Linked DNA regions of Elephas maximus indicus. The protein of the gene in region 1 interacts with the protein of each later gene in a pairwise test. Links are inferred from orthologs where the notes say so. Each region holds a gene or a part of one and is shown in the gene's direction. Other genes may lie near its edges.

What was found.
Region 2: the proteins of ATN1 (region 1) and WWP2 interact in a two-hybrid assay, tested with the Homo sapiens proteins (2 studies listed by BioGRID and IntAct). The link is inferred for Elephas maximus indicus from reciprocal best matches to the Homo sapiens genes ATN1 and WWP2.
Region 3: the proteins of ATN1 (region 1) and LENG8 interact in a two-hybrid assay, tested with the Homo sapiens proteins (2 studies listed by BioGRID and IntAct). The link is inferred for Elephas maximus indicus from reciprocal best matches to the Homo sapiens genes ATN1 and LENG8.
Region 4: the proteins of ATN1 (region 1) and SIAH1 interact in a two-hybrid assay, tested with the Homo sapiens proteins (2 studies listed by BioGRID and IntAct). The link is inferred for Elephas maximus indicus from reciprocal best matches to the Homo sapiens genes ATN1 and SIAH1.

Annotation. Positions count from the first base shown.
Region 1 is NC_064822.1:63,725,665-63,733,001, forward strand, and holds the start of ATN1 (atrophin-1), read left to right. Parts: upstream 1-4,179; 5' UTR 4,180-4,396; intron 4,397-4,768; exon of another isoform or gene 4,769-7,337. UniProt on the Homo sapiens protein: Transcriptional corepressor. Recruits NR2E1 to repress transcription. Promotes vascular smooth cell (VSMC) migration and orientation. Corepressor of MTG8 transcriptional repression.
Region 2 is NC_064839.1:36,065,675-36,073,231, forward strand, and holds the start of WWP2 (NEDD4-like E3 ubiquitin-protein ligase WWP2), read left to right. Parts: upstream 1-4,365; 5' UTR 4,366-4,442; intron 4,443-7,557. UniProt on the Homo sapiens protein: E3 ubiquitin-protein ligase which accepts ubiquitin from an E2 ubiquitin-conjugating enzyme in the form of a thioester and then directly transfers the ubiquitin to targeted substrates.
Region 3 is NC_064829.1:92,407,125-92,415,250, reverse strand, and holds the start of LENG8 (leukocyte receptor cluster member 8), read left to right. Parts: upstream 1-4,959; 5' UTR 4,960-5,091; intron 5,092-8,016; 5' UTR 8,017-8,072; coding exon 8,073-8,110; intron 8,111-8,126.
Region 4 is NC_064839.1:7,688,995-7,696,222, forward strand, and holds the start of SIAH1 (E3 ubiquitin-protein ligase SIAH1), read left to right. Parts: upstream 1-4,228; 5' UTR 4,229-4,485; coding exon 4,486-4,576; exon of another isoform or gene 4,577-5,301; intron 5,302-6,576; coding exon 6,577-7,228. UniProt on the Homo sapiens protein: E3 ubiquitin-protein ligase that mediates ubiquitination and subsequent proteasomal degradation of target proteins.

The DNA of each region.
Region 1 (7,337 bases):
GATGGAACGACCGGAAGTGGATTAAACTGTACTGCAGAGCTGGGGAGGGCATAGAGAGGAAGACACACTGAACAAATATGGCTGAGGTAATGGCACTGCCTAGTCCACCCTAGCCAGTTGGGACCCAAGTTGCCCCTGCCTTCTCAGTGGCAAGCTTGGCCCCAAGACCTACGTGCATTAGGGGTTCTTAACCTAGGGTCTGGAGTCCCTGGGTGGTACAAATGGTTAATTCACTCATCTGCTAACTGAAAAGTTGGAGGTTTGAGTCTACCCAGAGGCGCCTCAGAAGAAAGGCATGGCAATCTATTTCTGAAAAATCAGCCACTGAAAACTCTATGGAGCACAGTTCTACTGTCACATATGGGATCCCCATGAGTTAGAATTGACTCAGCAAGTGATATAGCCAGGATCCAGAAGTCCCTGAAAGTATCAAAGGTATAAAGCTGTGGACTGGACCAGCTCCCATACTGAGCCTCTCCCAAACAAAATCCTGGCTGGTTCTGGGATGGAGCAGGACTGTGTGGCCATCACCTCCTGCAAGATGGGGAACTGGGAAGACTGGTACCAGGCCATGTAGGGAAGGGCCTGAGGAAGCTTAAGTCCTGAATGTTCAGGACTTGAAGTGCTTGACAGGCCCTCTGGCTGGGTCAGACTGTGCATAGGGTGCCAGTATATGGCTAGAGATCCCCTGTAACTCCTAAGCTCCTGTGGAGCCCCAGCACTGGAATGCTCAGCCTAGGGACCACCCAGAGGGAGAAGGGGGTGGGCAGCCCAGTGCCTTGGATTGGGAAGGCACATATTAGCAGGTAGGGGCTGCCCATGGGGAGCTGTGGCCACTAGAGGGAGCCGATGTTCTATACGACACCGTGCGGGACACTGCTGTAGTCGGGGTGGGAAGAATTTCAAGGGTACTCTCTGTGGGCCTCCCACTCTAAGTTCTGGTCCTGGGCTCCCTCTGCTGTCTTGTACAGCTCCAGGGCTAAAAGGATTTCAGTTCTGTATAGGCAGGGCCCATTTCTGCCCTCTCCTCCTGGGTCCCTGACACCTCAGCCATTTTCAGTTCAAAGAGCTTCTTGCCCCCACTCCTCCGTGCACGTTGCAGTGTGGGCATCTCATCTTTCTTTCATTTCTGCCTAGCAGGACTTTCTGCCTCTCTTGGGGCTCACCATACTTTCTCTGTGCCTCTGTTGTCTCTGAGGTCCATGACTTCCATCTTTCTTCAGTAACTACCAGACTTATTAGGATTACTCTGGTTCTGGTTTGAGCCACATTTTCTAACCAGTGTCCTTTCTTTCCTCCCTCCTTGCTCTGTTGCCTTCTGACAGTCATGCTCCCTGCCCCCCCCTCAGGTATTGGGTTGGATTGGGTTACAGCTAGCTGTGCCTGGGCCTCCCAGGCCCCTCTCTCCATTTTCCTTTTGTGCCGTTGCCTGGAGACCAGTGGGTTGTGGGGGGCTGGGGCCAGAAAGGAGAGCTGGGGTGAGGGATGGTGAGGTGTGTGTGTAATGCTCCCTGAAGCTGGATTGTGAGCCTGGCCCTCACATGGTGAGGAATTGGAGGGGGTAGGCCCCAGTTTCTCTGCTGCCTCTCCCTATCCCCACCCCCCTCATTCCTACTTTACACCTAAGTCAGTTTTCCTTTTGGGCTCAGATATATCTGTCATCATCCTTGCCCACCTCTTCGTGGTTAAAGAACAAGAGAAATCTCAGCCTAGAAGGGAGATGGGAAGGGCCTGGGCCAGGGCCCAGTGGGAGACCGAACTGAGAAGTACAGAGGAAATGCTGTGCGGAGGAGTGGGAGGGGGAAGGAGGAGTCTTGGAACAGAGTTGAGGGGGGTGGCCAGGAGGAGTGGGGCTATCCTGGAACACTGAGGAAAGAAGTCTGGGGAGCCCAGGAAGACAGGCTGGCTTTGTCTTAGGGAGGCTGGGGAGGGATAAGGAAGGTGGGCATGGAGTGGTAAGTGACTGCTAACCAGTTTGAGGGACTTAAGAGTGGTGATTCATTCCTAGGCCAAGGAAGCCTTCTTGTTTCCATCCCCAGTGCTTTAGAATCCATGTACTGTAAGCTTTTGGGTCCTCCCAGACATGTGTTGGCTGAACCTGGCCCAGGGAAATGTGAGGCGACATCTACTGAGTTTCTACAGAGCCAACCTCCTTCCCTCTCAGATGGCAGGGGATCCTGCCAGTTCAGGGCCTAACATGGGCCTCTGGCTGGCCTGACCCCACAAAAACTCTACCCTCACCTCAAATCTGGAGAGCTGAGGACTCCTGATCCAGACTCCAGCTCCAGCTCTTCCTGTTTCCCAGCCTCCCTCCCTCCCTTTCTCTGGCCTTCCCAATCTCAGCTGCCAAAAATCACCCAGTGTCTTGGTGTCCTTTGTCCTAGGAGATGGAGCTGCTTGGTGTGGGCCCAGGGAGGGAGCCCAGAAGAAGGCGGCTTGTGGGGTGCTGTCTTCATGGCTGAAGACTGGGAATGGCTGGCAGACTGACAGCGTCAGAGACTGCCTGGAGAGCAGTGGAGGGAGAATGAGAGTCGCGTTAGAATGAGCTTTTGGTCTGTAGTGGTGATTGTCTCTACCTTAGAATGGAGTTAGGGAACCAGGACACCTAGGGATTTGGCTCCATACCAAGCCTAATCCCCACTGACCCCTTCCCTGTGGCCCAAGGTACAATCAGTGGTGACTTCAAACAGATTTGAGAATGAAAATAGAGAAGCCACCACACAGAAGGGCCTGAGGCTGGTCTCCCAGTCCTATAAGTTGAATCCCTTACCCACACCTGGACACGTCCCCTCTGTGTCTATCATTTCCTTCAAATGCTCTCCCTTCTCTTGTCTTCCCCATCAATGACCTACCTTCCTCCATATTGCCACCAAAGGCCTTGTTTATTTTTCCAATCTTCCTTAAATCCCTCCACCCAATTCTATCTACCTCGCCCTGCAAACCCAAGCCCTCAGTTCACTTAACCCCAGCATCCAGCTAGCCCTGTGTCTTCCACCCTCTTGTCCCACTCAGAACCCTAGTCTCCTCTGCCTCTTTCACCTCTTCTTAAGGCTCTTCGTGCTTTCCCTTTCCTCTTCATACTGACATTTCCTCTGGGATCTTCTCTCCAGCTTTCCTTTAAAAAGCACCCCCAAATTCCTATATTCCCTATTCCTTTCCCAACACCAATCACCCCTTAAACTCTTTACTGTCTTCCCAAAACCCCATCCTCATATATATGTCTCCATCCTTTCAATTTCTTCCCTTCTTATGACCCCAAACTTTCATCCTATTCTCTTTGGTAATAACCCCCCAAACTCTTCCCACTTCATCTCTGCCACAGACGCAATCACTCCAAGTTTCTTTCACCTTTCCTCATTTCCACACACTTCATTGTCCCCAAAGATCCTTGTAGCTCCATTTTCTCAATCTCTTTCTAACCCTTTTACCCCAATCTCTATCCCAGTACCCCCAAACTCCTCCCACTTCACCTCTGCCACAAACCCCATCCCCCCAAACTTCTCCAGCTTCCCCCATATCTGTCCTTACAACCCACAGCCCCTCCTGGCCAGCCCTACTCCCGCGTCAGGCCGGCGGCACCCTACATTCCGCCACGGCGAACCCCTCCCCGCGCCCCGGCCCCCTCGGCCTCGGTCTCGGCCAACTCACACAGCGCCTCCCCTTCTCCGGATCCCCCTCTCTCCCCCCTCGCAGCTTGCCTCGCGCTCCCTCCCTCGCGTCTCCCTCCTGGCCCCTCTCTCCTCCGTTCCTCCGCGCTCCCTCCTTCTCCCTCTTCCTCCCTTCTCCCATCCCCCTCTCCCAAGCTCCCTCCCTTCGCCGTCCGCTTTCCTGTGCGAGTCGCCGGACGCGCCGCCCAGCCCGCCCGCAGCCCCGCGCCGGGCCGGGGCCTCCAGCCGGGACCCATTTCGGGGGACCGCTGGCCTCGGGGAGCGGCTAGGAGTGGGCGAAGGAGACGACCGCCCGGGAAGGGGCGGGGGCCGCGGGCGGAGGCCGCCGAGAGGGCCGGGGATCGCGCGGGTGCGGGCTGCGCGGGGCCGGCGCGGCGGCGGCGGCGGCGGCGGATCCGAGCGGCGCGGAGGGCCGGCCGGGCCGCGGGGGCGAGCGGCGCGGCCGCGGCTTTCGGGCGGCAGGGGAGGCGGCGCGACTGGGGAGGGGACGAGGGAGAGCGGCAACGGGATTTGTTTCAGGGGACGGCGGGCGATCGGGACCAGGTGGGGAGGAAAAGGGACATGGGGGCCGCCCTCCGGGGGGGTCGGGGACGCCGCCGTCGCCGTCGCGGCGGCGACTGAAGCCGGAAAGAGGAGAGGGGGGCGGGGAGCGGCCGCCGCCGCCCCCCGGAGGTGCCGGAGCCCCGAATCCCGCCAGGAGGCAGCCAGCCGTCCCGAGCTACAACCAGGTAAGCTGTGCTGCCGCCCCGGCCTCCGGCCCGCCGGGTTCTGGCCCGCGGCTCCCCACCCCCACCCCTCCCAGCTCCCCCTCCCGCCGCTGCCGCCTCCATTTGTTATTTTCCCGATTCGGTCCCCCTACTGTGGGCACTGCCTAGCCTGAGGCTGGTGGGGGGGGGCGCTCTGGGGGTGGGGCCGGCCCCGAGGAGGGATGGGGGCCAGGGCACCCAGAGGATCTCGAAGGCTGAGAGAAGTGGGAGGGGCTCAGGAGGAGGACTCATGGGGCAAGGGGGTAGCCAGGACCCCCGGACCAAAAGAAGAGGAACGCCGAGGTGGGGATGTGGGGGTGTTGGTGGAGGAAAAACGGGGGATTGGGGCAGAGGCAGAAAAGATTGGAGAGATGGCAGCGAGGTGGGGCGTGAGGGCTCCAGGAAAAGCCTCAAAGGCCCGGAGCCTGGCTTTCAGGGCCAGGGGTTGGGGGTGTTAGGAATAGAAGGGAAGTGGGAAATGGGGAAGGGGTGTGGTAGGTGGAAAGAGAGAGATTGTGGCTGTTGAGGAAGGGAAGTGGAACCTGCGGAGATGGAGGCTCAGAAATGGGCAAGGAGAGGTCCATTTCTGAGAAGAATAATCAGGGGCTTTGAGGGTTGGGAGTGTGAAGGTGATGCCTTTGTGACTTATTTTTCTCTCCCTTACTGCAGGTCGCTTCTGACCCTGTTTTCTCAATCCCAGACACAGTTTACTTCTGGGAGAGGGGCATTGGGGCCCAGTAGTGTGGGTCTTTGTAAAACTGATGAGGAGGAAGACAGGGGCATTGAAGGGAGAGTTAAGGAGAAAGGGTTTCAAGGAGGGTGGCTTTATAGGCACTTCAAACAAGCTGTGACCCCACCCTTAAATCCCCAGAGCACCCACTGTGCTTCTAGCCATGGTCCCTGTATAGGAGAGGTCTTCGTTACTCTTTTGAGCTCTAAGGTCTCCCTTTGTGCCAGATGGATCCCTGGGATAGACTCTTGGGGGGGAGGCTACCATTTTGTTGCCATGGCAATGGTCCAGTGGGATGTCCAACTAGGTGGGGGTTCAGAATCTTGATTGGACCTCAGTGTGTGCCTGTGTCCTTGGGATGCATCAGGGCCCTAAATTCCTAGCTCTTGGCTGGGTTCCGGAGGATGTTTCTGGTGCTGCTGGTGCATAGGAGGTTCCCCAAAGGGTGCACCCCCTTCCATCCAGCAGTCTGTTGAAACAGGTAGACATGTTACTTGCAGGTCGTAGGCGTCTCCAAGTCCCTTCTCCCAGGCATGGTGGGAGAATGAAAATGCTCTCAAGTTATACCATCTTTTGGCGGTTCTTTCTGGCCTCTACCTCCCTTGTTATTAAGGACTTTTTTACACAGTAGTTTTGCTTCTCTGCACTGAAGTCCTTCTGTTTTCTTAAACTTGAATTTCTCTTTGAGTCTCCCTTCCTGAGGAGTATCTCTTTTCCTCTTTTCCAGACTATCCCCACAGTGACCCTTTTCTTCAGCTAACTTTCAAGTTTCTACTTCCCTGACCTTGTAGGAATGACTGGGCTGTCCCAGGGGAAAGGGCCGAGGCACAGCCTGGTGCAGTGGAAGTACTCTGGAATGGGAACCAGGAGACCTGGGTCTAGTCTTGGTTGTGTCTGTGACCTTGGGCAAGTCACTTCTCTTTCTTTGAGCTTCAGCTTCATTGTAAGATGAAAGGATAATAGACTAGATGATCTCTGAGGCCCTTCTGACAACCCTGGATTCTAAGGTGGTTTAGGCCAGTGCGTGCTGGTTTGGGCTGCATTGTCTTCTAGGAGACACTTTGAGCTGGTTTGCCAGTCAGGCAGGTCTGGAATGAGAAGGGCTGGGCCAATGATCCTGAAATTCACCCTGCAAATCCCTCCCAGAAAGCCTTGTGACTCAGTTGTATTTCTTCTGATATCCTTCCTATACAAAAGGAAAAAAAACCGGTTGACATCAAGTTGGTTCTTTTTCTGAAGTAGATCGCCAAGCCTTTTTTCCGAGGCACCTCTAGGTAGACTTAAACCTCCAACCCTTTGGTTAGCAGCCAAGCTTTTTAACTGTTTGCACCATCTATGGACTCCAGCCTTCTCATACTTCTCCCTTAATTTCTTTTCCTGTTCTTAATGAGGGGCTCTTTTCCTATTTCTCGCAACCCTTTTCCAGTTTCCCAATTTGGTCTATCATTTTCCCTTTGCAATACGGTAATCAAGGTGAATGTGCTTAGCGTGTTGCCAGACACATAGTAGGTGCTTTACAAATATTGAAGCCCTGGTGATGCAGTGGTTGGCTGCTAACCAAAAAGTCACCATCAGCTGCTCCTTGGAAACCCTACTGTGTCCTATAGGGTTGCTATAAGTCCAAATTGACGGCAGTGGGTTTTGATTAATAAATGTTAGTTACAGTGACTGGCCGCTAGGGCAAGGAGTGTAGCTCACCTGTTTGGTGTTAGAACGTGCCCTAGGTTCTGAAACATACATACAGTCCAATCCCAGTCCCTCCCGTCTCCCTTTATCCTGGGATTACTTGCCTACCTTTTTATGACGGCTTTACTTCTTCAATGCAACTGTTCGCTAATTTTTTCAGATTTCAGCTGATAAAAAAAAGTTGAGGTGAGGGGGAAGGGCACACGAATTGCTGTGTTCTTCAGGTACATTCTCATATTTCTTTGACCTTTTGGATCCCCTGACTGATGTGGTGAACAGGTTCTGTGATGGGAGGAGAGATGGGCGCCCTGCTGTAAAGATGAAGATCACAGCCAATCACAGTCATCTTGTGCTTTTGTTTAGATTGTTTTTCCCTTTTATTATATTGGGTTTTGTTCTTCGAATTTTTGGGGCTGACAATATTTTAAAACCGATTTACACAACAACTCAAAAATGTGGTAGTAGTTGTAGTTGAAGAAAAAAGGATTGTTCTACCATGTAGGGCAT
Region 2 (7,557 bases), on another chromosome or scaffold:
ATCCCATAGGACAGAGTAGAACTGCCTCGTAGAGTTTCCTAGGCAGTAATCTTTATTGGAGCAGATTGCCAGGTCTTGTCTCCTACAGAGTTCCTAGGTGGGTTATAACTGCCAACCATTCATTTAGCAGCCTAGCACTTAATCATTGTGCCACCAGAGCTCCTTAGTATAAATATATCCCATGCAGTATTTCCCCCACTTGTCTGTCAGTTTGTCATACTGTGGGGGCTTGTGTGTTGCTGTGATGCTGGGAAGTATGCCACCGGTATTCAAATACCAGCAGAGCTAACCATGGCAAACAGGTTTTGGCTGAACTTCCACACTAAGACAGACTAGGAAGAAGGACCTGACAGTCTACCTCCGAAAAGATTTAGCCAGTAAAAACCTTATGACTAGCAGTGGAACACTGTCTGATATAGTGCCAGAAGACGAGCCCCTCAGGATGGAAGGTGCTCAAAAGAGGACTGGGGAAGAGCTACCTCCTCAAAGTAGAGTGAACCTTAACGACATGGATGGAGTCAAGCTTTCAGTACCCTCATTTGCTGATATGGCATGACTTAAAATGAGAAGAAACAGCTGCAAACATCCATTAATAATCAGAACGTGGAATGTATGAAGTATGAATCTAGGAAAATTGGAAGTCATCAAAAATGAAATGGAACACATAAACATTGATATACTAGGCTTTAGTGAGCTGAAATGGACTGGTATTGGCCATTTTGAATCCAACAATCATATGGTCTACTATGCTGGGAACCACAACTTGAAGAGGAATGGCGTTGCATTCATTGTCAAAAAGAACAACTCGAGATCTATTCTGAAGTACAATGCTGTCAGTGATAAGATAATATCCATACACCTATAAGGAAGACCAGTTAATAAAACTATTATTCAAATTTACGCACCAACCACTAAGGCTAAATGTGAAGACACTTAAGATTTTTACCAACTTCTGCAGTCTGAAATTGATCAAACATGCAGTCAAGATGCATCAATAATTACTGCATATTGGTATGCAAAATTGGAAACAAAGAAGGATCAGTAGTTGGAAAATATGGTCTTGGTGATAGACACGATGCTAGAGATCCCATTATAGAATTTTGCAAGACCAACGACTTCTTCATTGCAAATACTTTTTTTCACCAACATAAATGGTGACTATACATGTGAACTTTGCCAGATGGGATACACAGGGATCAAATTGACTTCATCTGTCGGAAGAGACAATGGAAAAGCTCAAAATTATCAGTCAGAAAAAGGCCAGGTGCTGACTGGCGGTGGAACAGACCATCAATTGCTCATATAAAGTTCAAGTCGAAACTGAAGAAAATTAGAACAAGTTGATGAAAACCAAAGTATGACCTTGGGTATATCCCACCTGAATCTAGAGACCATCTCAAGAATAGATCTGACACATTGAAAACTAATGACCGAAGACCAGATGAGTTGTGGAACGACATCAAGGACATTACATATGAAGAAAGCGAGAGACTGTCATTAAAAAGACAGGAAAGAAAGAAAAGACCAAAAGGTATGTCAGAAGAGACTCTGAAATCTGCTCTTGAATGCCAAGTAGCTAAAGCAAAAGGAAGAAATGATGAAGTAAAAGAGTTTAAATAAGATTTCGAAGTGCGGCTCGAGAAGACAAAGTATGATAACAACATGTTCAAAGACCTGGAGATGGAAAACAAGAAGAGAAGAACATGCTCTGCATTTCTCAAGCTGAAAGAACTGAATAAAAAATTCAAGCCTTGAATTGAAATATTGAAGGATTCTATGGTGGAAATGGAAGACCTGGTTGTGTAGTGGTTAAGTGCTACGGCTGCTAACCAAAAGGTCGGCAGTTCAAATCCACCAGGCGCTCCTTGGAAACTCTGTGGGGCAGCTCTACTCTGTCCTATAGGGTCACTATGAGTTGGAATCGACTCGACGGCAATGGGTTTGGTTTTTTTTTTTATGATGGGAATATTAAACAACTCAGGAAGCATCAAAAGACGATGGAAGGAATACAGAGTCACTATTCCAAAAAGAATTGGTTGACGTTCAACCATTACAGGAGGTACCATACGAGCAGGAACCAATGGTACTGAAGAAAGAAATCTAAGCTGCACTGAAGGCATTGGTGAAAAACAAGCCTCCAGGAATTGGCAGAATACCAACTGAGATGTTTCAACAAATGGATGCAGTGCTGGAAGTACTCACTTGTCTATGCCAATAAATTTGGAAGACATCTACTGACTGGAAAAGATCTATATTTATGCCTATTCCCAGGAAAGGTGATCCCACTGAATTATCAAACAATATTATTTATATCACACACAAGTAAAATTTTGCTGAAGATCATTCAAAAGCAGCTGGAGCAGTATATTGACAGGGAACTGCCAGAAATTCAAGCTGGATTCAGAAGAGGATGTGAAACCAGGGATATCATTGCTGATCAGGTCAGATGGATCCTGGCTGAAAGCAGAGAATACCAGAAAGATATTTACCTGTGTTTTATTGACTATGCAAAGGCATTTAACTCTGTGGATCATAACAAATTATGGATAACATTGCAGAGAATGGGAATTCCAGAACACTTAATTGTACTTATGAGGAACCTGTACATAGTTCAAGAGGCAGCCGTTTGAATAGAACAAAGAAATACCATGTGGTTTAAAATCAGGAAAGGTGTGCATGAAGGTTGTATCCTGTCACCATACCTCTTCAATCTGTATGCTGAGCAAATAATCTGAAAAGCTGGACTATATGAAGAAGAACGGGGCATCAGGATTAGAGGAAGACTCATTAACAACATGCTGATGCAGATGAACAACCTTGCTTGTTCAAAGTGAAGAGAACTTGAAGTATTTACTGATGAAGATCAAAGACCACAGTCTTCAGTATGGATTACACCTCAACATAAAGAAAGCAAAAATCCTTACAGCTGGACCAATAACCAATATCATGATAAATTGGGAACAGACTGAAGTTGTCGGAGATTTCATTCTACTTGGATCCACAATCAACACCCATGGAAGCAGCAGTCAAGAAGTCAAAGGAAGCACTGCACTGGGCAACTCTGCTGCAAGAGACCTCTTTTAAGTGTTTAAAAACAAAGACGTCAACTTGAAGACTAAGGTGTTGCCTAACCCAAGCCATGGTGTTTTCCATCGCCTCCTGTGCATGTGAAAGCTTGACGATGAATAAAGAAGATCGAAGAAGAACTGACGCCTTTGAATTGTGGTGCTGGAGAAGAATATTGAACATACCATGGACCACCAAAAGAATGAACAGATCTGCCTTGGAGAATGTACAACCAGAATGCTCCTTAGAAGCAAAGATGGCGAGGCTACCTCTTACATACTCTGGACATGTTATCAGGTGGGATCAGTCCCTGCAGGAGGACATCATGCTTGGTAAAATAGAAGGTCCTTGGAAAAGAGGAAGACCCTCAAGGAGATGGACTGACACTGTGGCTCCAACAATGGGCTGAAGCATAACAACGATTGTGAGGATGGGACAGGACCCGGCAGTGTTTCGTTCTGTTGTACACAGGGTCATTATGAGTCAGAACCAACTCCATGGCACCTAACAACAGCAACAACATGAAATATCCGGGACATACTTAAACATCAGATGGGACATACACACAAAAAAGTGGTGTTTATAGTGGTGGAGGACATACTTAAATATCAGATGCGACATATACAAAAAAGTGATGTTTATAGTGGTGGATTATTCAATAGGCAAGGTATGCAGGGTTTCACTGGTAGATGTGGTAGAGTCGGTTTCACTACATGATAAAATTGTTCAGTACAGAGTAGCAAGCATAAGTAAGTTTGTGCTTACTTTGCTTACTGGGTCATTCACTCCTGTCAGGGAGTGTGCATTTGTAAAGAAGCTTTGATTCTGCAGGAAGGTGTTGTGGTGTTGGGAAACAGACAGATGCTAGCCATACCTAGAAGCAGAATCTTTTATGTGGTGAAAACATGTGAGATTTGTTCTCTACTGATGATCTGGTAAGCAAAGTAAGTACCATGCTTACCTTGCCTATCGGATAATCTGCCCTGATGTAACTGGGCATCCTGTATTTTTCTGGCAACCTTACTTCATTGAATCTTTTCCTCTCACCTGTGCAGGGGGGTAATGATAATACCCGCCTCAACAGGATTGATGGGAACGGTAAAGAGACACCTGGCGCGCAGTGAACCCTCAATTCATGACTGCTAGGGGAGCAGCCTGCCGATGGAAAACCCTCACACTTTGAAAAATACTAACAATGAGAAAGTCTTTCCAAGACCAAAAACACCGCTGCCAAGCTTCGGCTGCCCACACCTGCGAGCCCGGCCAGCCTCTTCCGAGTCAGGTGACCGCGCGCTCTCACGTGACCCTGCCCGAGTGAGGGCGGTGGGAGGCGGAAGTGGGAGAGGAGTTGGAAACCGCTTCTGTGGTCACGGCAGGTAGTGAGCGCGGGCGTGGGCAACGCAACCGGCTGGCGGGCGGCGCGGAGCGGGCGGGGGGCGACAAGCGGCACGGGGTGGACCGGGGGCGGCGCGGCTCGGGCGCCGGGGGGCGGTGGCTTCCTGTGGGAGGGGCCTGGCGCGGCGGTTCCGGCCTCCGAGGAGGGGTGTCCCGGCTCCTGCCCGAGTCGGTGGGCGCGCCGCGGGCCGCGCGCGGGGGTTTCTCGGTGGAGGGCGCTAAGGCAGCCAGGGGTGCAGCGGGGAGCAGGTCATTCCGAAAGATGAGGACCTTAGGTGCCCAGGGATGGAAAGGAGTGACCTTTGTGGAGGGATCAGGAGAGGAGGAAGGGGTGCTTTGCAACTGGGCTAGAACAGGGTGCGTGAGAATGACTTGGAGGGAAAGAGGGAGAACTGGATGAAGGTGCTTCCTGAACCCCGTCTGAGAGTCTCTTTCTTTCCTTCCTCTTTGGAAATGTTTGTTACCAGAGACTTTGATTCCGGTTCCGTTCAGTTTATAAACTTAAGGAGGCATCATACAATCTTGATCATTTTGCTGTCCTCACCAGCCCTTTAGTCCTGCTTGGTAGGGTTTCCACGTCTTGGGAACCTAGCCTTTCAGATCATCTTTCTTTGAGATTTTCCCAGATCAGGTCATGGTCAAGGCTTTAAAAAAAAAAAAAAAAAGTATGGGCACTTTGGCGGTAAAATGGCTTTTAGTCTAAACTGTTGACCGCAACCCAGCCCAGCATTATCTCAGCAACATAGTGTCTGCTGAAACCTGGGACGGAGGAGTGTTCACCTGTACTGCTTTATGACTTTTCATTTTTCTTAGGTCTAAATTATTCAGCCTCCCTTACCACGTGAGTCCTTATCTTGACAAACTGTAACTAGGTAGGGGTGACTGAGAGGTCTGTGTTGTGTTTGCGAGAACTCTGGCCTGAATCATGATTTTGAGGTTAAATATCTGCGTTAAAGCTCTTCATCCCTCCTCTTTCTCTTCACGTTTACCGAAATTTGCAAAAGGGAAATGAACTTCATGGTGCAGTGTAACTGCAGGGAATGTTCAAACTGGACCTTCACAGAAACAGGAATCATTTTGGGTTACAAGTTGGGAAAAAAGTACTTACGTTTATGAGTCCAAGTTTTTGGAGTATTTGACGAACATATTTAAATTAATTTTTGTAGCAGTCCTGTGAGTTAGGTTGGAAAGGTGTTATTCCCATTTCACAATGAACACAGGCCTAAGAGAGATGAATTGATTGTTAACAATTTATTGCTCGCTCTTGTTTGCTGTCCCTTTCTCCCTTTTAACCAGTTGTCATTGAGTGGATTAGACTCATGGCCACCCCATGTGTTGCAGAGTAGAACAGCTCTCCACAGTGTTTTTAAGCTGTGACCTTTCTGAAACAGATCACCAGGCTTTTGTTCTGAGATGCCTCTCCATGGGTTCAAACCGCCAACCTTTCAGTTAGTAGTCAAGAGCTTAACCATTTGCTATCCAGGGATTCCTCCTTTCTCCCTACTAGCCTACAGATACCTCAAGGATAGGGTTCATATCTTATTTGGCTTATTTGGCTGCTAGCCTTGGGTCTGGCATGTTGTAGGCACTTGGCAAATGTTTAGAGAATAAATTAATTTCTAGACGTCACACACTGGTAAGTGGCAGACAAGGGATTTGCACTCACATCGTCTATCCTTGCTCTTATCTGATAGGCTTGCTATTTTCTATTATTGATCTATATGAAAATGATAGGCATGGGAGAAAGGCTTCATTTGGCTTCTCAGTCTCTTCCACTACTTTCCCATTTACAAAGAGCTTATACAAACATCTCATTTAATCGTCACCAGGATCCTGTGAAGGTAAATATTGTCCCCGCTTGACAGATGAAGAAGCCGAGACTTAGAGATGTTTTTGCTTTAGGTCCCAGAGCTAGTGAATGACTAAGCAGGGAGTCATGCCCAGGTCATTTTATCCCCAGAGTTGTTCTTTTTCATTTATGAACATAATAAAACATTGTTTGAAAATATTTTTTTCAAGTATAAAAATACGTGGCATTTTAAGGAAAAACACTAATAATAAAGGTCACAGCAAAAATCATGCTTATAGAACGTGAATAATGGAGGTTTAGAAAACCCTGTACTGTGTCATAAAACCAAACCAGACCTGTTGCTGTTGAGTCGATTCCGACTCATAAAACCCAGAAAAACCTTATTCCGACTCAGAGCAACCCTATATATAGGATAGAGTAGAACTGCCCCGTAGGGTTTCCAAGGAGTGAATGGTGAATTTGAACTGCCGACCTTTTGGTTAGCAGCTGAATGCTTAACCACTGCGCCACCAGGGCTCCGTACTATGCCACAGTTGGCTCTTATTTCAGGGAAAATGTTGTTTTCATTCAATGACTATAAGTGCCGACTCTATGCCAGGCATTTCTTTGGAGTTGCGTTGTCCAGTATGGTGGGCACTAGCCATATGTGGCTGTCCAGTGTTTCAGATGTGCTGTAAGTATAAAATTTTGAGTATTTAGTATAAAAAAAATAACACATCTTTTTGGTATTTTTGTATTATTTGCATTACAATATGTATAGTGTAGATGTTAACATTTTGGATTTATTGGGTTAAAGGTAGATCTTAGACAATGAAAAGTTACATTTGTGGCTCCCTTTATATTTCTGTTGGACAGTGTTCTAGACGCAGGGACTACAGCAGTACACAAGAGAGGCAAAAATCCCTGCCCTCGTGGATCTTAAATTTTAGGGGGGAAAGGCAGAAGCAAAACAAAGAAGTAAATATATATTGTGAGAAAGCAGACAAGAGGAATGTGGCGTGTTGGGTGGGGTTGCAGTTTTAAATAGGGCATGTAGAAAAGCCTCCCTGGGAAGGTGATGGCTGAGTAAAGATCTGAAAGTAGTGAGGGAAGGAGTCATGTGGCTAAGTGGACTCATAGTGGTCTAGGCAGAGGGAACAGCAAGTTCAAAAGGCCTAAGAGGGAGCACCCCTAGTACGTTTGTGGACCTTCCAGGAGCCCAGTGTAGCTGGAAGGAAGTGAGGGTGGGGGATAGGGAGGTATTGAGGGGCAGAGGGAGAGATGGGCAGGTTGTTCAGGGCCTTGTA
Region 3 (8,126 bases), on another chromosome or scaffold:
ATGAACATAGATGCAAAAATCCTCAACAAAATTCTAGCCAATAGAATCCAACAACACATTAAAAAAATAATTCACCATGATCAAGTGGGATTTATACCAGGTATGCAAGGCTGGTTTAATATCAGAAAAACCATTAATGTAATCCATCACATAAATAAAACAAAAGACAAAAACCACATGATCTTATCAATTGACGCACAAAAGGCATTTGACAAAGTCCAACACCCATTTATGATGAAAACTCTTACCAAAATGGGAATTGAAGGAAAATTCCTCAACATAATAAAGGGCGTCTATGCAAAGCCAACAGCCAATATCACTCTAAATGGAGAGAACCTGAAAGCATTTCCCTTGAGAACGGGAACCAGACAAGGATGCCCTTTATCACCGCTCTTATTCAACATCGTACCTGAAGTCCTAGCCAGGGCAATTAGGCTAGACAAAGAAATAAAAGGTATCTGGATTGGCAAGGAGGAAGTAAAGTTATCACTATTTGCAGATGACATGATCTTATACACAGAAAACCCTAAGGAATCCTCCAGAAAACTACTGAAACTAATAGAACAGTTCGGCAGACTCTCAGGTTATAAAATAAACATACAAAAATCACTTGGATTCCTCTACATCAACAAAAAGAACACCGAAGAGGAAATAACCAAATCAGTACCATTCACAGTAGCCCCCAAAAAGATAAAATACTTAGGAATAAATCTTACCAAGGATGTAAAAGACCTATACAAAGAAAACTACAAAGCTCTACTACAAGAAATTCAAAAGGACATACTTAAGTGGAAAAACATACCTTGCTCATGGATAGGAAGACTTAACATAGTAAAAATGTCTATTCTACCCAAAGCCATCTATACATATAACGCACTTCCGATCCAAATTCCAATGTCATATTTTAAGGGGACAGAGAAACAAATCACCAATTTCATATGGAAGGGAAAGAAGCCCCGGATAAGCAAAGCACTACTGAAAAAGAAGAAGAAAGTGGGAGGCCTCACTCTACCTGATTTCAGAAGCTATTATACAGCCACAGTAGTCAAAACAGCCTGGTACTGGTACAACAACAGGCACATAGACCAATGGAACAGAATTGAGAACCCAGATATAAATCCATCCACGTATGAGCAGCTGATATTTGACAAAGGACCAGTGTCAGTTAATTGGGGAAAAGATAGTCTTTTTAACAAATGGTGCTGGCATAACTGGATATCCATTTGCAAAAAAATGAAACAGAACCCATACCTCACACCATGCACAAAAACTAACTCCAAGTGGATCAAAGACCTAAACATAAAGACTAAAACGATAAAGATCATGGAAGAAAAAATAGGCACAACCCTAGGAGCCCTAATACAAGGCATAAACAGAATACAAAACATTACCAAAAATGATGAAGAGAAACCCGATAACTGGGAGCTCCTAAAAATCAAACACCTATGCTCATCTAAAGACTTCACCAAAAGAGTAAAAAGACCACCTACAGACTGGGAAAGAATTTTCAGCTATGACATCTCCGACCAGCACCTGATCTCTAAAATCTACATGATTCTGTCAAAACTCAACCACAAAAAGACAAACAACCCAATCAAGAAGTGGGCAAAGGATATGAACACACATTTCACTAAAGAAGACATTCAGGCAGCCAACAGATACATGAGAAAATGCTCACGATCAGTAGCCATTAGAGAAATGCAAATTAAAACTACGATGAGATTCCATCTCACACCAGCAAGGCTGGCATTAATCCAAAAAACACAAAATAATAAATGTTGGAGAGGCTGCGGAGAGATTGGAACTCTTATACACTGCTGGTGGGAATGTAAAATGCTACAACCACTTTGGAAATCTATCTGGCGTTATCTTAAACAGTTAGAAATAGAACTACCATACAACCCAGAAATCCCACTCCTCGGAATACACCCTAGAGAAACAAGAGCCTTCACACAAACAGATATATGCACACCCATGTTTATTGCAGCTCTGTTTACAATAGCAAAAAGCTGGAAGCAACCAAGGTGTCCATCAACGGACGAATGGGTAAATAAATTGTGGTATATTCACACAATGGAATACTACGCATCGATAAAGAACAGTGACGAATCTCTGAAACATTTCATAACATGGAGAAACCTGGAAGGCATTATGCTGAGCGAAATTAGTCAGAGGCAAAAGGACAAATATTGTATAAGACCACTATTATAAGATCTTGAGAAATAGTAAAAACTGAGAAGAACACATACTTTTGTGGTTACAAGGGGGGGAGGGAGGGAGGGAGGGAGAGGATTTTTTATTGATTAATCAGTAGATAAGAACTGCTTTAGGTGAAGGGAAGGACAACACTCAATACATGGAAGGTCAGCTCAATTGGACTGGACCAAAAGCAGAGAAGTTTCTGGGATAAAATGAATGCTTCAAAGGTCAGCGGAGCAAGGGCGGGGGTTTGGGGACCATGGTTTGAGGGGACTTCTAAGTCAATTGGCAAAATAATTCTATTATGAAAACATTCTGCATCCCACTTTGAAATGTGGTGTCTGGGGTCTTAAATGCTAACAAGCGGCCATCTAAAATGCATCAATTGGTCTCAACCCACCTGGAGCAAAGGAAAATGAAGAACACCAAGGTCACAGGACAACTAAGAGCCCAAGAAACAGAAAGGGCCACATGAACCAGAGGCCTACATCATCCTGAGACCAGAAGAACTAGTTGGTGCCCGGCCACAATCGATGACTGCCCTGACAGGGAGCACAACAGAGGACCCCTGAGGGAGCAGGAGATCAGTGGGATGCAGACCCCAAATTCTCATAAAAAGACCATACTTAAAGGTCTGACTGAGACTAGAGGAATCCCGGCGGCCATGGTCCCCAGACCTTCTGTTGGCAGAGGACAGGGACCATCCCCGAAGACAACTCATCAGACATGAAAGGGACTGGTCAGCTGGTGGGAGAGAGATGCTGATGAAGAGTGAACTAATTATATCAGGTGGACACTTGAGATTGTGTTGGCAGCTCTTGTCTGAAGGGGGGATGGGAGGATAGAGAGAGAAGGAAGCTGGCAAAGTTGTCATGAAAGGAGAGACTGAAAGGGCTGACTCAATAGGGGAAGAGCAGGTGGGAGTACGGAGTAAGATGTATGTAAACTTATATGTGACAGACTGATTGGATTTGTAAACGTTCACTTGAAGCTTAATAAAAGTTAATAAAAAAAAAAAGATGAGGCAGAAGGTGTTGAGATGGGATGGGTGGTGTTTACTCATCCTGTCCCGTTATTTGGCATTTTACTGGTTCCTCCTCTCACAACTCAGAAGCATGAGGCTCTGGAGGTTTGGCCTCAAAAACAACCATAGTGGACACTCAATACATATTAAATGAATACATGAATGAATTCATATACTGCAGTATTATCTGGCCATCGGAAAGAATGAACTAACCTGAAAGGATGTTCATGAGCTGCTAAAAAAATAAAAAGCAAGTCAGTCATGATATTCATAGAAATGATAGCTATTACTTGTTCCGTGATTATACTCATTTTACCTCCACAAAACCCTACGAGATATTATTCTCACGCCCATTTTTATGGATAAGGAGGCTAGCCATAGGAGTTTAAGAATCCTGGCTCAAAAAGGTAATTAAAAATTATAACAAAAAATAACCCCCAGTTGCCATGGAGTCAATGCTGATTCATGGCGACCCCATGTGTGTCAAAGTAAAACTGTGCCCTATAAGGTTTTCCATGGTTGGTTTTTCCAGAAGCAGATCACCAGGCCTTTCTTCTTAGGTACCTCTGAGCGGACTCAAACCGGCAACCTTTGGTTAGCAGCAGGGCAAGTTAACAGTTTCCACCACTCAAGGATTCCACAATCAATAACGTTCTTGTCGTTGTGTGCCGTCAAGTCGATTCCAATTCATAGCGACCCTATAGGACAGAGCAGAACTGCCCCACAGGATTTCCAAGGAGCAGCTGGTGGATTCAAACTGCCCACGTTCTGGTTAGCAGCCCAATTCTTAACCACTTCGCTACCAAGGCTCCACAATCAATAATAACCAAAAAAAAAAAAAAAAAACCCACTGCCGTCAAGTCAATTCTGACTCATAGTGACCCTATAGAACAGAATAGAACTGCCCCATAGTTTCCAAGAAGCGCCTTCCGGCAGATTCGAACTGCCGACCTCTTGGTCAGCAGCCGTAGCACTTAGCCACTACGCCAGCAGGGTTTCCCAATTAATAACAGGATATTTAAAATGCCGATAAATGGTTCAACAATAGCAAATGAGAGGAAGTGGACGGTTGAGGCACGAGGACTTAGGACAGGCTTTGACGGGCTTCAGGCATGTAGCTCCCCACTACCCACAGGCTCAGGTCCAAGTTCTTCAGCCCGAGTTCTTCAGGTTTTTTCCGCATCTTGCACCTGCCCACTTACAGGCCTCTCTCCTCATTCCGGGACCCCACACCATTCTATTCTGCAGCCACATTCAACTACCTCCTCCCAACCCAAAGCCACGCTGGTTACCCGCCTTTTTATGTTTGAATACACGGGTCCTCCGCCAGGTGAGCCATCCCAGGTCTATTTACTAGGAACGCTCCCCTCATCCGGATGGAGCCGGTTCCTAACCCCTCTTGAGTCAATCATTCCCTCCTCGGGCTTCCACATCACTGTACTATGCATAGTCTTACACCTCTCATGATACCAGTTGACAAATAGGAATAATAAATGCTAGCCCTGGCTGAGCTCAACCTAGGCTGCGACGAATCGCAAAAACCCCACCAGCTTCTAACTGCGGAAGCCGCATTTCCTTCAGGAGGCCACCTCCACCCTTTCTTCCTGTTTGCCTTAAAACACTCAACGCAAGATGTGCGTAAGCGGAGGTGGGGGGCGGGCTCAATTCACACTAGCGGCGCCTATTGGCTGCGCGGTGTGGGGGCAAGGAAGGCGGCTAAGACCGCCTAATGACGTCAAGACGCCGCGATCGGGACGTCGAAGCCAAAGGAAGAGGAGAACCAGCTGGGTCGCCCAGCAATCTCGCAGCCGTGTTCACGTTCCTTTGGGCCACTGCTGGCGAGTCCGGAGAACAAACGCCTGAGGCTGGTACGAGGAACGACAAGCGAGCGGGCGGGCGGCGGGGGGGGGATCTCCTTTTGGTTTTACGCCCCGCGGGCCCCGAGGCCTTCTCGGCCGTCGTACCAACGGACGCCGCGCATGAGCGTCGCCGGGGTGTGGCGGCGCTGGGTTAACCTCTACGCATGTGCGCCATAGCGGGGGTGGGGGCGCGGTCGTGCTGTAGCGCGCGTGCGCGTCGGCTCCGCGCCCAACCCCGCCCTTGGAATTCCCTGAGCCCGGAACGCACCCCACCCTCTATTGACCTGGCGATTCCGCCGGGAGGGCGGTGTTGCTCCGGGCGACGGGCGGCCTGCACGCTGGCTTCTTCCCCCCTCCCCGGGACGTGGTGCGCAGGCGCGGCGCGGTTGGGGCGGTGGCTCCGGGGCCAGTCACGGGGCCCCGGGCCGTCTCATCCTCCAACCGGCGTCCTCCTTCACCTTCCCCGGGCCTGCAGGACAGCCAGGTGGTCCTCGATTCTACGGGAGCCTCACTCTAGGCTGGAGTTTTTCCCCCGGTCTCTTCTGTCCCGGGGTTCCCGCACCCGCCAGCGATTGCCACTCACAGCCCCCATTCTCCACCCAGGATATGTTTCCCGTTTAGACTTTTCTTCAGGGCTTTCCCCAGACTCCTGTTCTTTTCCCTTTTGTAGGGCTTTCGGGTTCTCAGGAAACCCTGTGGCGTAGTAGTTAAGAGCTAACGCTCCTAACCAAAAGGTCGGCAGTTCGAATCCACCAGACGCTCCATGGAAACTCTGTGGGGTAGTTCTAGTCTGTTCTATAGGATCGCTGTGAGTCGGAATCGACTCTCTATGGCAGTGGGTTTGGTTTGGGTTTGGGTTCTCAGAAGGGCTCTTCTGTGAGCCCACCCTTAGGTACATTACAGTCCTCAACTCTTGCCTTCCAAACACCCCTTCGATTTGTTTTAGTTATTTCGACCCCAGCTCTGTAATTTCCTAAAACTCTTTTGAGCCTGTTGGTGTTTTTAGTTGCTATGTAGTTGATGCTGAGTCTCGGCAAGCCTATGTGTGCTGAGTAGAGTTGCTTTATAGGGTTTTCAAGGATGTGACTTATCAGAAATAGATCACCAGGCTCCCCCCCTCCACGCCCCAGGCACTTCTGGATGGGTTTGAACAGCCAACCTTTAGGCTGATAGCTGAGCGCTTAACCCTTGTGCCACCCAAACCAAAAATCTATTGCCATCAAGTCGATTTCGACTCCTAGCGACTGTATCAGAATAGGACTGCCCCATAGGGTTTCCTAGGCTGTCCATCTTTATGGAAGCAGACAGCTACAGCTTTTTTGCAGGAGTGCACTGGTGGGTTTGAACAGCTACCAGTTAGCAGCTGAGTACTTAATCACCGTGCCACCAGGGCTCCTTTTTTAAACCACCCAAGGACTCCTGTTTGGGCCTCTGAAAAAAAAAACCATTGCAGTGAAGTCGATTCTGACTCGTAGCGACCCTTAGGCGTCCCCAAAGCTTTATGCCCAGAACTCCCGTACTAAGGAGATCTTCTTAGGCCCACTCCTGCCTCTAGGAGCCTTCCCTATAGGTTTTTTCTCTGCCCTTGGGGAGCCTTTTTGAAATCGGCTTCTAAGAACTTCTTCATGTGGCAGTTCCCCTCAGGTGCTCTCACTTTTCACTGCTTCTAGAGGTAACTTCAGAAATCCTCCTTTCCTCTCAAATTTTTCCTCCATGCTCCAGTGTTCTCCCCATTCCAGCACCTGCTTTCTTCTCTCAAGCATCCCTCAAAGGCTTCCCTGTTTACAAAGTTCTCTCCCAGAAATCTTTCCAAGCTTCCCAGCTTTAAGGATTTACTCAGATTTATTAGAGAGTCTTATTTCTTCTGCTTTCTCTCAGAGTATATCTTTTTCTCTAGAATTTGTTTTAGATTCCTTATCACTTGGTTAAGGAGCCCTGGTGGTACAGTGGTTAAGTGCTAATTAAAAGGTCGGAGGTTTGAACCCACTAGCTACTCCATCGGAAAAAGACGTGGCAGTCTGCTTCTGTAAAGATTGTTGTTGTTGTTAGGTGCTATCGAGTCAGTTCCAATTTGGCAACCCTGTGTACAACAGAATGAAACACGGCCTGGTCCTGCGCCATCCTCACAATTGTTGCTGTGCTTGAACCCATTATTGCAGCCAGTGTGTCAGTCCATCTTGTTGAGGGTCTGCCTCTCTTTTGCTGACCCTCTGCTTTACCAAACATGATGTCCTCCACGGACTGATCCCTCCTGATAACATGTCCAAAGTACGTGAGATGAAGTGTCACCATCCTTATTTCTAAGATTAGAAAGAAAAAAACCACTGCTGTCAAGCCGATTCCGACTCATAGCGACCCTTCAGGACAGAACAGAACTGCCTCCATAGGGTTTCCAAGGAGTGGCGAGTAGATTTGAACTGCTGACCTTGTGGTCAGCAATGGTAGCTCTTAACTGCTCTGCCACCAAGGCCCCGCTTCTTTGGAAACGTCGTGGGGCAATTCTCTATCCTATAGGGTCACTATGAGTCGGAATTGGTTGGATGGCAACGGACATGGGGTTTTTCAATTTTTTATGGTTTGACTGAGGTCTTCCCACTCCTTCCTCCAGAACCTCCCCCTATCTTCTCACTCAGGGCTTCCCTCAGACTCTTATACGGGCTTCAGAGCCTTCTCACCCCCTTTGGGCAGTCCCCTTTTCAAATCCTTCGTTTTCTCCCTGGAGCACTATATGTTGCTCAAGGGTTTCCCCTCATACTCCAGCATTTTATTCCACATCCAGAATTTTTTTCAAGTCTTTATTTATCTCAGTGGCTCTTTTCTTAAACTCCTGCGTTCTGCCTGGCTTCTCATGAGCTTGTCTGATTCTTTTCCCCCACTCCAACATATATTCCTTGCTTTTTCTTGAGTCTTCCTAACTAATTCTTTCTCTGACAGACAGTGAAAAAAGCAGTCTGGCTCCCGAGGTCCATCCCTCATACCCCAAGGTCCAGATGGCGGCCAACGTGGGTGATCAACGTAGCACAGATTGGTTAGTGGGGCTGACG
Region 4 (7,228 bases), on another chromosome or scaffold:
TCCTTACAAGAATATAATAAAATCATATTTATTCATTCTTCTGTTGATACAGATGTGAGTTTTTATAGGCCTGTCTTCCTAAATCCTTATCTTCCCTTGGCTTCAGAGATATTAGGCTCTAGTTTTCTCCCACTTTGGATGTCCTTCTCAGCTCTTGCTACTTAAATTGGTCACTTGCGTTGGCCACACCTGGGAGCTTGCGTGTTAAAAATCTCAGGCCCACCTCAGCCTACTAAATCAGAATCTGTGTTTTAACGAGATCCCTAGATGATTACTGTTATTGCCATTTTCAGCTCACAGTGACCCCAGGTAACAGTAGGGCTGCCCCATAGGGTGTCGTTGGCTGTAATCTTTACAGAAGCAGATGGCCAGGTCTTTCCACTGTGGAGCCACTGGGTGGGTTCGACTGACAGCCTCTCAGTTGGCAGCTGAGCACTTAACCATTTGTGCCACCAGGGCTCCACTAGATGGTTAGTGAGCACAGTGAAGTTTGAAAATTATTGTCGTCTAGGGGTGATTACCTCTGTCTTCAGTGAAACTTTAAATGTTGGATTTTTTTTTCTTCTAATTTTAGGCAAGCTCCTCTTCTCTGTGTCTTCAGATGTCATCTGTATGCCAACAACTCAAATCTCCAACCTTGTCCCTCTTTGTATATCGGCTGCCTTATGACAGCTCCTCTCAGACACTGCACAGGCATCTCACTTCTATTTGGCATTTTTCAGCATCTTGCATAGTACCTAACAGGTGCTGAGTAAGTATATGCTGTCTTTTGGCAGAATACGTGGTCAGGTTGGAGATTTGAGTCCACTCAGAGGCACCTTGGAAGAAAGACCTGGGGATCTGCTTCCCAAAAATTCAGCCATTGGAAACCCTATGAAGCACAGTTGTACGCCTGACACACATGGGGTCGTTGTGAATTGGAATCTACTGTATGGCAACTGATGCTTACTGGTGTTAGCAGGCATGGAAGCTTCAGAGTGTGGTGATTTTGGGTCGTGAAAAGCAAATGTACTTTGCTCTACACACTTGAGTTGGGGTTTTCCCTTTCCTTTACTGTATTATCATGTTTGTTCAGACCTCTATCACGTATCAGGTCCTTTGCCCCCCTGGCTTTTCCCACTCAAATCATCTCTTTTATTAGACACATAACTTTTCTTCTGTAGCCACAAAGTTCTGAGGATTATTTTCAGGAAAAAAAAAAAATAAAAGGAGTTTTTAGGAGAAAAAATACATAGTACTTAAAAAAAAATACCACATCACTTTGCCACAGGTCTGGAAACTAAAAACAGGTGAATTCGTTTTCCTCAACATTGTTATGTTTATAACGAAGTTTGATTTTTGACTTCGTGTGTTAAGCTGTTGAAGTTTTGAGACTTGCCTTAATTTTTGTCAGAGAAGAGAAGCATTTTTTAGCATTATAATTTAACCGACATTTTGTACATGCTGTGATACCTGTCCCCACCACGAGTTGCCTTGGAGTTGGCCCTGACTCATGGTGACCCCGTGGGCATTAGAGTGGAACTGTGCTTCATATGGTTTTTCACTGGCTGATTTTCAGCAGTAGATTTCCAGGCCTTTCTTTCAAGGTGCCTCTGGGTAGACTCTTAACCTTCAACCTTTTGGTTAGCACCTGAATGTGTTAACTGTTTGCACCACCCAGGGACTCCAGCTATCACCATATCATCCAAATGTAGAAGCGCCCTTTTCACAAAGAAGAGTTGAGAGGAGGAGGAAAGCCCTAGATGTTTTGGATTGAGGGATTCAGTTTAACCCAGTGATCACTAATCTGACAGCTGTAATTTTATTTTACTATAAACCTCACTGTGTGATTTCTAGGAATGTTTGGTTTGCAATTTGCTTTATGATAACATCGTGATCTCTTCCCATGTCTGACTACTTTTCTTCATTCTAAGCTTTTAATTTTAAGTAACCATTAGTTTCATATTGCTGCTGTAATACATGGACACCTTTGGAAGGAGGGGGCATTACTTGGGGGAGCACAGTAACATTTGTAAACTAAAAGGAAAGGGTAAGCAAAACATCGTGGATTAATTAGAGTAGCCAGGCACTGGGTTGTGACAAGTCAGAGAAATTCTTAGTCATTTATAAAAGGAAACAAATAACTGCCACATGAAATTGAGAACAAAAGTTTAAATCCATCTCTTCCTTCTGCTTTATGTTAATATGGCAGAGCAATAGTTAAATGGTCTGACTGTAATAAGATGCTAATATGTTTTGATTTAGGTTAAAATCCATTTAAACTTTATACCTAACTGGGTTTGATTGAAATGTAGGCTTAGAAATGGTAGGTAATAGCAAACTCTTGTTAAGTTTTGAATTTTTGCTAACTTTGGGTTCTGTGTGCTTGCCTTAATGAAATGTTTTTATGAATTTTTCTAGCTCTAGTGTAAAAAAATATTGTACATAGTTGAGAAATTCTACTAAGGTTTATTGTGCTAAAAATGAATTCAGTAAGAGCTTGTTTGCTAACTAAAAGGTTGGCTGTTTGAATCCACCAGGTGCTCCTTGGAAACTCAATAGGGCAGATCTTTTCTGTCCTGTACAGTCTCTCTGAGTCGGAATCGAATCGATGACAATGGGTTTGGGTTTTTTTTTATAATGTACGTAGAGAATCCCTGGTGGTACAGTGGTTAAGCACTCAGCTGCTAACCAGAAGGTTGGCCATTTGAGCCTACTAGCTGCTCCAAGGGAGAAAGATGTGGCTGCCTGCTGCCTTAAAGATTACAGCCTTGGAAGGCCTATGGGGCAGTTGTACTCTGTCCTGTTATAGGGTTGCTATGAGTCGGAATTGATGTTGTTAGTGGGCATAATGTACATAAATTAGCCATTTTCCCTTAATTTAGACAAAAGCCTGTGAGGCTGAAAGTATTATCCCAGTTTTACAGCCTGGATTTGAATTCAAGTTTGACTCCAAAACTCTCCCACTTTTTCTAGATTGAGGGGTTTGTCTTGTTTTCAGAGTGCTCTAGGGGTGTGTGCTGCTCCTTTGGGAGCCATCAGCTTACTTTAGATGTTAATTTTATACAGAATTATTAATTACGTTTGGAAAAGTGTCGGTGCCTAAAACGTTTGAAGTCTTCCCTGTATCCCTAAGACTTATCTAGAATGAATGGGTATTAGAAAGTAAAAATGCAGGTAATAGTAATTATATTTGCATGTGGGAAATGGGCTATATTTCTGGTTATATTTCCTATATATTCCTAATGATGTTTTGTGTAGCCTAATATTAAATAATGAGTTTGAAGTGCTTGCACCCACGATTTGGGGGAAGGGGTGATAAGTTAAACTTGGTTGCAGAAAAGTGAGCAGTCTGCGTTCACCGCCCGGGGTTCCTGGTCCTGCTGCTTCCACAGGCTTTGCTAAGCGTGATGCAGTGACAGGTTAACAGGCTTTTCTAAGCGTTATACTAAAAACCAAACCAAACCCAGTGCCGTCGAGTCGATTCCGACTCATAGCGACCCTGTAGGACAGAGTAGAACTGCCCCATAGAGTTTCCAAGGAGCGCCTGGCGGATTCAAACTGCCGACCCTTTGGTTAGCAGCCGTAGCACTTAACCACCACGCTACAGTGACTGGTTAACAGCCTTTTCTAAGCGTGGTGCGGTGACAGGTGAGACCTCTGAACGGCTGCCTGATGCAGTGATGTCGGATGCCCAAGGCTTCATTGCGGCAGGGCACGTGGTGGTTTAAAAACAAAGCTGGCCGCTGGGAGTTGAACGAGGCAGTGTAAGCTGGCTTTCCCAGCGTGGCAAGAGGCTACAAGGGCCGTTTGGAGGTTAAAGCAGGAGTTTTAATTGAAGCGTGCGCACACCTGAGGCCCCGCCCCTAGTGCGGAGAGGCAGTGGGCGGGGCGTCGTCGCGTCCCCGTGGCTCCGCCCGGCCTGCGGAGGAGCGTCGGCGCGTCCCTGTGGCACGGCCACCTCCCTGGGTGCCACCTCCCTGGGTGCGGCGGGGACTGGGCCGGCCGGCGGCGCCGCAGCTTGGAGTTCGGCATCACGGTTCGGGCGTTGCAGCTTCCGCCTACAAATGGCTCTTCTTTCCCTGTGGGGTGGACCCTGGAGAAGCTCCGGACTTGGAGAGCGCACTTCCTTTTCCAGCCACCTCTGCGCACCCCTGTAGGCCCGTCCTTTGCCCGGTCTTGGCGGGAGCCCCACTCATGAGTCTGGGGAGGACAGGCTCCCGGGATAGACGGTTTCGGGCGCCGCGGGCAGCTCAACGATGCGCCCGTGTTTGGAGACACAGGCGACTTAGAGCGAGCCCGGAGTGTGGTCGCGCCTGCTCGTGGTCGCCCCTGCTCGGGGTGGGAAACTCTGATTCCTCGTGCCTGTGCAGAGTAGGACACCTGCCGTTGTTCCTGTAGAACCTGATCTCGGGCTCGAGCTGGAGTCTTCCGGGCTTGGGAACACAAGGGGGTGTCCGGAGGGGCCTCTGTGATGAGGACGCGCCGTGAGCAGCCTGACTTCTCATGGCGGGGAAACCTGCCCTGCCTTTTCTCTACTCGTTGGGGGGAGGCTTGTTCCCTTGTCTGCCTGCAGCTAGGACAAGGGAGAGAAAAGGTACTGGCTGGGTTGCTTACATTGTGGGACTTGTATGTTGTCAAGTCAGTGGAGTCTGCCCGGATCAGCCCCACCATGATAACAGCGCTTCCCGGGGTTAGCCGGGACGTTCCATTTGATCTCGTTTTACATCAAACTTGAGGTTTTGTTGTAACTTCTGCAGGACTGTCAAGACGGTTGAGCCCTTGGTGCTTACTGCAAAGCTGCTGTATGGCTGGGGACTGACTGGGTCGCACCTTTGGAGTTCTGGGGTTTTGGGCAGCTACTTCTCTGTAACACCTCCACCACATTTCACTTGGAATAGGAATACAAATTGTACCTTCTACGACGTTTGGAAAAATAATTTGTTGTAACATGATCGTGAACTATCGGTGAATGCATAACGAACTAGGTCAAGCAATTGAACAACAGTGTTTTTCTTGCTTGGTAGCTCTATTATGTTAAATTACAATTTCAGTTTACGGGCCTTCGATGTCCTTAGTTGTATTGGTTTAGTGACCCGAAAGCCCCTGCTGGCTTGGCCTTGCTTTCTGCCCAAGCAATCACTCCGCAGTGTCCTGTTGTTCAGCGGGCGCGACTTTTAGGGTGTTGTGTGGCAGTACTAAGCCCGTTGTCTTACACCTGACAGTGGGTAGATCATCAGATGCGCAAAGAGCCTACATGGAGGGGAACTGACTGACAGAGCTCTCTGGTCCCCATGTTGGGATAGAACGTCAGGGCTTCAGGTGAGCCACGTTCTGAAGGGATTCTGCTGTGCTTCTGTTTCCCCTCAAACTTTAGGATATCCTCTTATTAACCATGGAATTGATCTTTTTTTTTTTTTTTAATACCCTTAACCTGCATTTAAGGTATCTATTGTTAATCATTTGAGTAATCTAGACCCCAAATCGTATTTACCTGGTCATATTGGTAACAAGCATTGTTTCTTAAAAGATAAATTCTTTGCAATGGAGTAACAGTTATAACTGAGAGGAATCAGTAAATTTGCTGTACCTTAGTGTAGAGTTATCGGCATTCTTAGGACAGGAGCAGATGATTGATCTTCATCATCCCTCCCCCTAGACAGTGACCTGCCATATCCTGGCAAAGGTAGATACCTGGGGAAAGGTGCTTGTTTTTGATCTAGGCTGACTAGGTATACTGTTGATCGTTGCTCCCAGGTAACATTTAGTTCTTCAATAATGTTTACTATTACACTGCTAACAAGTGTGTCGGCAGCACAGGTGAACCTCAGGGTGCAAGGAATCCTTACCCCATCGCCAGTGTTCTCTGTGCCTCTCTGGTGCTTTTATATTTTTTGATGTGGAATGAACAGAGTGATTTATGTTAAACTCATTGAGGATGGCCCTTCCATTCTCCTGTCGGCTCTCGTTTTTGAGGAGGGCACTGACCCCTAGGAGACAGGATTATACCTAGCCATGTTAGTGTTTCAGGGAGCTCTCTTAGATGATGCTGGGATGGCAGCAGGCCCTTCCTCTCAGGACTGCCTCTCCTCATCCTCCAAATATACCACTAGAACAAACACTGTTCACCCTTCGAAGCGTTCATGTCAGTACTCTGGTGGTTCCTTGGCATTTGAGCTGTCGGACTCACCTGTAACTCCTATAACTATGAGCAGCTGAAAGGAAAGCGACTGAGTGGGGTTAACTGAATTCAGAGGGAGGATTTGTGATTGGACTTAAGCTGCTCGTATGGTGTTTCCTAGTTGTTTACAGTTCAGTTTCTCTTTCAGCATTTCATTTCTTATTCCATGTGGTTTTGGAATTGGCAGTGAAGCCCATTTTTCTTTTTTTAAAAAAGCAATCCTAAACATATCCTGGAGCGTTTTGAAAACAGTAGGACCCTTAATGATCAGAATGCATATTTAGTATAATTTAACCCTATTTATTTTCCTTTGTTCTTCTCCTTATAGTAAAAAAATTTCTGGCATGTAAATATTATTTGCAAAACAAATGACAGTTGTAACTCTATTTTTATTTCTGTGTTTTTATTTTTTACAGAAATGAGCCGTCAGACCGCCACAGCATTACCTACTGGTACGTCAAAGTGTACGCCATCCCAGAGGGTGCCTGCCTTGACTGGCACAACCGCATCCAACAATGACCTGGCGAGCCTTTTTGAGTGTCCAGTCTGCTTTGACTATGTGTTACCGCCCATTCTGCAGTGTCAGAGTGGCCACCTTGTTTGTAGCAACTGTCGCCCAAAGCTCACGTGCTGTCCGACTTGCCGGGGCCCTTTGGGGTCCATTCGCAATTTGGCTATGGAGAAAGTGGCCAATTCAGTACTTTTCCCTTGTAAATACGCCTCTTCTGGATGTGAAATAACTCTGCCACACACAGAAAAAGCAGACCACGAAGAGCTCTGTGAGTTTCGGCCTTACTCCTGTCCGTGCCCCGGTGCTTCCTGTAAGTGGCAGGGCTCCTTGGATGCTGTCATGCCCCACCTGATGCATCAGCACAAGTCCATCACGACCCTGCAGGGAGAGGACATCGTTTTCCTGGCTACAGACATTAATCTTCCTGGTGCTGTTGACTGGGTGATGATGCAGTCCTGTTTTGGTTTTCACTTCATGTTAGTCTTGGAGAAACAGGAAAAATACGACGGCCACCAGCAGTTCTTCGCAATTGTACAGCTGATAGGAACGCGCAAGCA